2 linked regions of the Arabidopsis thaliana genome follow. The protein of the gene in region 2 interacts with the protein of the main gene of each other region in a pairwise test. Each region holds a gene or a part of one and is shown on either strand. Other genes may lie near its edges.

What was found.
Region 1: the proteins of GPT (region 2) and AT2G01680 interact in a protein complementation assay, tested with the Arabidopsis thaliana proteins (one large-scale study listed by BioGRID).

The regions. Positions count from the first base shown.
Region 1 is NC_003071.7:304,517-308,274, reverse strand, and holds the start of AT2G01680 (Ankyrin repeat family protein), read right to left. Parts: upstream 2,025-3,758; 5' UTR 1,679-2,024; coding exon 1,357-1,678; intron 1,220-1,356; coding exon 810-1,219; intron 715-809; coding exon 1-714.
Region 2 is NC_003071.7:17,299,525-17,303,282, reverse strand, and holds the start of GPT (UDP-glcnac-adolichol phosphate glcnac-1-p-transferase), read right to left. Parts: upstream 1,712-3,758; 5' UTR 1,522-1,711; coding exon 1,139-1,521; intron 1,061-1,138; coding exon 973-1,060; intron 885-972; coding exon 793-884; intron 704-792; coding exon 585-703; intron 477-584; coding exon 361-476; intron 272-360; coding exon 144-271; intron 50-143; coding exon 1-49.

The DNA of each region.
Region 1 (3,758 bases), about 17 Mb from region 2:
CATACTTGCCAATGTCCCTACCAAGATCGGTGCTCCAAGCAACGTTATGGTAATCGCCATCCACGAGTTCCCCTTTCCAACAACCGCAAATGCAATCGCCAAAAATGCTCCGAATGTGCAAGCACAAGCTGCCCACATTAGCTTATTCACTACAGACACAACTTTCTTCTGCGCCCGTGTGTCCCACGCCACCAAAGTTATTTGAACTACCACAACCGCTAACGATATAAACAGAGATGTCGCGTTTAAAAGACAGAACACGCGGAATCCGGTTCTCCCTGCAATATTGGCTTGTCCCACATGCGACCCCTCCGTGAAATACTGACCCGGCAAGTTGAATATGGCCAAGAACGCTATGGAAGCAAACAGAACCGCCACTACCGTTATGGAGTTAGTCGTGTTCTGAACCGCTTCTCTGTGGAGTTTCCTCAGCTCTTTCGCGATCCCAGAGACACGACGGTTGGTTTTCTCATTCTGCAAAAGCTGCGATTGCACCTCGTGTTTGATATCACTCACTGCTCGCTTCAATGCTCTCGCCTCATCTTCTCGACCAATGAACCTCCCATGCTTAGCCCCAGCTTCTACCAAAGCCTCATTGATCTCCAAAGCAGATTCGCTATATTGCAGCTTATCCGCCAAATCCATAGCAGTTTCTTTCTGGTTGTTAATCGCATTCACTTCAATCGCCGTAAAGGTCAGCAATAAGCTCGTTATCTAATAAACAAAACACAAAAGGCATTTATGTGTCAACCCCTGTTCTTGAAAGCTAACTAGCAATACAAGAAGCTAAGAAAGGAGTGGAGTAATACCTGTGGCCGCGCCTTTCGAGTAGCAATATGCAAAGCAGTGTTCCCTTTTCGATCTCTCTCATTCAATATTGTGTAATCAGCCTGCAAAATCTCTTCGACTACTTCCAAACTTCGTCCTTTAACAGCCATGTGAAGAGCAGTCTGACCTTTCTTATCTTTAACACCAACAATCGCTGCGTCTTTCTCTATGAGAGCTTTCACTATCCGAAGAAGCCCGTACCTTCCCGCAGTGTGCAAAGATGTTTTCCCGTTCTTTCTCACAATCATTGCACAGCTAGGATCAACATCAAGCATTGCATTTACTATTTCTAAGTGATCTTGAACCGCAGCTGCGTAAAGCGGACTCGTGTTGGAAGCGTCGCAGATTCTGCAAAGCTCTGGCCATAGTCTCAGTAACTCCTTCACAATTCCTGGAGATCATAAGCAGAGCCACATCAAAATATCTTCAAACTACGAAATTCAAATCCATTTTCAGCAATTTCAGATTCAAAATCATAATCAGAGAGCCAAAGTTTGAAGATTTGAAGTCAGAATTAGTGAGACATACCCAAGTGACCTCGCTTGGCAGCGACATGAAAAGCGTTCATGTCGGATTTGGATCTGATCTTAACTGTTTCCAAACTAGAAAACCTAATCAAGTAACGAAAAATGTCTTCAAGATTCTCTGCGGCGGAGATATAGACGGCGGTCTCTCCGGCGTCGTTTTGCACAGACATAAGCTCAGCCACAGCAGAACACGGCGATGACTCATCGATTAGCTCATCTCCGGTTAAATTGTCAACTAACTGTTGAAGTTGACTAAGATCTCCTGATCGAACAGAGGAAAAGAAAGCTTGGTGAGTAAGAAACTTCATCTGCTTCATCTCCATCTCTGTAAAGCTCTGTCCTTTCTCTCTCTAAACCAAAAAAAGTTATCAACTTTACACAGACCCAGTACTCTCTAGCTCTATCTCTAGAAAGCTCAGCCAAAACCCATCAACATGAACAGATTCGATCTCCAAAAAGTCTTCTTCTTTATTTTTAGTTATGCTTTGCAATGAAATTGGGATTCATGTGAAACCATGTTTGGTTCTTTTGCTTTAAAAAAAGAACAAAATTCTTTAAGGTTTTTGCTTTTGTTGGAGAGTTGACACTAAAAACTAAAAAGATGATAAAATGGGAATCTTTTTTTTCTTCAATCAAAACCTGAATGGTCTCTAAATTTCTCCTCTCAATAATTCGTTTCTCTGTATTTTAAAATGTATTTTTTTTCCAATTTTGACGAGACAGCAACATTATTTCTCGAAACAAATTATTTGTCTTTTTAAAATAATTTATGTACTATATAGTCTATAGATAACGTATATGGACCGTTGACAGTTGGAATTATATTTTAATTCTGGAAATATTTAAAATGACATGTTATTTTCATGTAAATATATTTTTCTTTTACCGTTTTAGATTTATTATTTATTGCAAATTATGATTTATGAGAACCGTTATATAGCCGATTCTATTATGGGTAATTTGTTTCGATCTTTATTAGATCCACGAAAGACGACACTTTCTTCTCCGTCTTCATGCTTTTGATGGACACCTTGAAAGATCTTCAAATCCTGGCAAACAGTTATAATTGTACATCGTTCGAGATCTCTTGCACACTTATCTCCATTATCTGCTAATAAATCACAGTATTTGGGACTTGAACCTCAATTTCTTTGTGTATAAGTATTAATAGAACTTTCCGCCAAAAAGGCTTCCACTGTAAATATATCATTACTAATATAGAAAAAACTTTAAAAAAATAAAAATAAAAGAGTGAAACCGTCCAAGCCCAAGTACAGCCCAATTATTTATATATTAAAAAATGGGTTTATATAATACGTGGCTTCTGTTTTGTAAAAAGACATGTTATTATGGGCTTGAAGCCCATTATATTTTTAATAACTAGCAAACTAAACGGTCCTTTTTGTGTTTTGTGAGAGCTACTTCATGTTGACGTCAATAATGCACCGTCAAAGTCTCCGTGACGGAACCACCACCGACCCAAATGACCGGCATCACCGTCAACTTCTTCGTCACCATTAGCTTTCATATAAGTCTAAATTCATTTTATTGCTACGTTGATAGTCCTTTTTTGTATATAACGTTTTAACATTTTATCGATAGTTTCAGAAAATTAAGAATACCATAATGAGTATGAACTATGATTCTTATGGTTTATTTTAGATATATAGAAGACATAGCTAATCAGTTCTTTGACAGTAATACAAAAATGCCTAAAATTTTTATGGATTAAGAGAGAAAGAAATAAAATTGACAAACAAAAAAAAAGCTACATTCCAGAAAAGGATTAGGTTGCAAGTGAGACACGTCGAAAGATAGTGACTGTAATATTTGGATTTTATCCACAAACCAACCAAAGTAAAACAAAATTCAATTAATTTAAATTATCATATTGTGGAAATTTAAGTGTTCTAGAAAAAAACATATAAACAATGACTTTATCTTACATTAAATATGTATAAGTAAACTTTGAAAAAGATGTGCCCTTCAAAGTCTTCGAAATCCTACTTGGATCCAATACATAGAAACTATTTATAAAGTATATTATATACACAGTTTTGTATTTTTGCTACAAATCATTTACAGTTTTATATAAGAATAATGTGAAACAAAAATTTATTTGTCAAATTATCAATTAATTACTAGTTAGAAATAATAACATTAAATACATTAGAAAATCTATAGTTTGATATTTATTGGAAAATATATATTAATTACATGCACTGAGGGTCCTTTGTTATATACTTTATTAGTATATATCTGACGTCAATAATTTTTTTTTCTTATTAGTTGGGTCCCATATATTTGTATAAACTTGACTCTAACCATTGTTTATTTACTAATGTAATCTTCAAATCAGATATAAAATAAATGTTGGGTTTGGTTGATCCAACAAAATTGCCC
Region 2 (3,758 bases):
TCCGGCGAAGACTGTGTAAGTGTCTCCAACAAAAACTGAAGAAGGATACCTAACAGCAGAAGATTGCGAGAACTGGTCAGAAATATCATTACTTCCACTCAAAAAAAAAAAGTTTTAAAGAGAAAGCCTGCTAGGGATTTTACCAATTGTAAGCAAGCATTGCCAAGGATGTGGCCATCAGCGGTTGAGTAAGAAATATCGAGAAGGCATGAGCTTGGTGATACTCGGGATCAACAGATGCTCCGATTTGCATAACGTTGTGTATCAGGATCTACAGGTAACTGGGATGCATCATATCTCAACCCAAAAGAAACAAAATGAGAAAAATTCAGAGACATTATGTATGACCATAAGACTTACAGCAGCGGCAATAACAACTGTTTGACCGATTTCAAGGCCATTCAGACCAGCGTGGATGTTAATAGAGTTTGTACAAAAGACAGCAAGTAGCCCCATATATAACTTATATATCCTTCCTGCCACGTTAAAACATCTATTGAGCTAATCATAATCATTTACCTCCTCAAAAGAAAAATACAAGTCAATGTGTACAAATAGGTGGTATCATGTACAAGAACCATTACCTAGATTAAGCACTTCCAAGCCAATATAAGCAACAAGAGGTTTTGGTATAACAATAGTTGTATGACCAGCATAAGCCATCAAAAGTGGAAGGGTAGCAAAAGATGGCAGGACAAGCTTTCTGTTGTTTAAATTGACAACAGTAAACATGTGAATCAAAAACGATAAGCGTGAATTTCATCAAAAAAATATGTAGGAATTAGGACTTACACTCTCCAAGGCACATCAAGGACATCATCTACAAATCCAAGCAAAATCATGAAGCAAATAGATGCTAGTGCTGCATTATACTCCACAAGCCACTGCACAGAATCATCAGCCAGACTCACAAACATTGATAATGAGAATAACCACAGAGATTAATAAAACAAGACGTTAATGCACACTTACATTAGAATCTTCAGTGAAGTTAAAATACTGAAATATTATCGCCACGATCAAAAAGACAATACCAACAACAATACCCAATGACTCTGGCCTGAAAACAAAGAGGATGAAGAAATTTTAATCAAACTAATCTTAATCTTTGGAAAATCAGAGATTGATAAAAACTCACACTTTAATATCTCCTTGAGGCGTGCCTCTTTTGTTGATATCAAAACCAAACATGTTACGTCTCAGAACGTATCTGGCAGTAACAGGAATCATTTTGAGAGTGACGAAAAACCCAACCAAGCTAAGCCCCGCGTTAATTAGAATCGATCGCTTGAGCTCATTATCAACCTTGTAGTGAAAACAGAGAAGGTATAGATAGAGCGAACAGAGAAGAGTAGAGATCACGAAGATCACTCCTAATTTCGGCGGCGCGAGACGAAATTCCTCACCGGAAGCAGAAACCGTCTTTCGGGTCATCTTCTGCTCCGATGGCGCTGAGTTGGGTTCCGACGGGTCCGGTTTGTTGGGAATTGAGATCGATGAAGCTCTCTTACGAGCTGCCATGGCGGATTTGTTGGCTCGTTTCGTTTCCCCGCGCTCTGGATTTTGACTCCAAACTCCGTTCGCCTGAGAAAGGATTCTTCAGAGCAATTCCCGTTCTGCGTCATATAGACCAATAAGGATTTGCCACGTCGCTTCAAATACGACACCGTGTCATCGAAATAGAACTTTATGGATTAATCATAACTTTAATTATTCGTATTAAGTACAAGAATATATCTTGGATTATACTTATAGAACTCTCTTTTTTTAAGAAAAAAATGCATAAATTTTGCTAAGAATTTTGTTGTAGCAACACATCAGCATGACATAAAGCAACTATTAAAAATTAAAACTAAAACTTATATTTAAAAGATTATGTAATAATATAGTTATTAATTAATAGTCATAATTTTTAACAAAGTTTCTTTTAATATAAAAATTGACATAGAAAATTATTTATTTTGAAGATTTTTTTATTGATAAGATGAAGAAGATGATCCATGCGACATTTGCTCACTAGTTACGCTTCCATCATTGGGAGCTTTGAGATGATCATTTTGAAGAAGAACATTCAGATGAAATCTCTGAAGAAGACGTAGTGCTCACAGAAGAAACTTGCACACTACTTTCTTTATCCGTAGAAGTTTGAGAGCTACTAGAATTATCACTATTTTCATCTTTTGTTACACAACTACACCAGTTTCCCATTAATGTCCCTACAAACATAATAAAAAATGTTAAAGTTGCTAAATTATATCTTAGTTTTTTTTGTAAGTGTTTTCAAATTAACTGAATAGTACTTATTGGTCTGTAGGATCAGTTTCGAAAATGCAACAACCCATTGTAATTTAAAATAAGTTTTTGTAAATGTACCTTAGCTTGAATCTCCTCAGAGTTTGTTATGATCTCTAGCTACACAATTCATCTTTTTATAGTGAGAGAAAAATATCTCAAAATTCAATACAAAATCTTTTACTATTAATTACTTTTTTTTTTTACAAGATCGAATCGACCTATTATTAGAACTTGGATGCATATGGATCATGATTTATGTCACAAAAGTTTTGTGATATTTAATCATAATCTAAACATTTTCTATGTCTTCTACTATATTTTGACACTTGTGTGTAAGACATAAATGGTAAGAGGAAATATTATTGATAGTGTTTTTTTTTTTTTGGATTTGGGTCAAAAATATTGTGGGGGGAAGCCACGTGTACAAATAAAAGTAAAATTTAGTTAAGACAATAAATATGAGAGTTAATGTATGTATCTTAGAAACAAAAAAAAAATATTAAGTATGAAATATAAGGAAAGATATAGCAAAAAAAGTAAGAATAAATCAACATCTTATTATATAAAATATGGTTTTCAAAGTTATTAACTCATAAGATTATGCCACGTGTCAAGTCTATCGATCAGATGTTGCCATGTGTAAGAAAATAATTAACCATTTTCTTCTTAAAGAAATAGAAATACTAAAAAATAAATTAATTAACTTTTTTCTTCTTAAAGAAATAGAAAACTAAAAAATAAATCATTATTAACATATACTAATTCATATTTCTATATCTAAAAAATATTACATTTTATTTTTCTTAACCAAAAGAAAAATTAACAAAAAAAAATCTTATTATATAAAGTATGGTTTTCAAAGTTACTAACTCATAAGATTATGCCACGTGTCAAGTCTATCGATCAGATGTTGCCATGTGTAAGAAAATAATTAACTTTTTTTTTCTTAAAGAAATAGAAAACTAAAAAAAGAAATCATTATTAACATATACTAATTCATATTTCTATATCTAAAAAATATTACATTTTATTTTTCTTAACCAAAAGGAAAATTAACAAAAAAAATATATATATATGTTATTGGTCAAATTTTTAATATATATGGTATTAACAAATGTTTTATTATTATGAATTATGTTTTGTTAATTGTTAATAATTTTTAATATTAACTAAGATATAGATTTGATCTTATATATATATATTATTTTGACATGAAATCATTATCAAGTAAGATGAAGTGTGTAAAATTAAAATCGAGTTTTTTATGAAATAGATAGTTAAATTGTATTACAAAATTGAATGTATAAGATAAAATTTTATTTTTTCTTCTAAATACTAAATTACAATAAAGAAAAAGTGTGTAGGTTACTATTTAGACTTCAAATATCATCAATAAGATTGAATGGGTATAACAAAATAAAATGCATAAGACTACTATTTTACTATTCAAAATTATATATCAA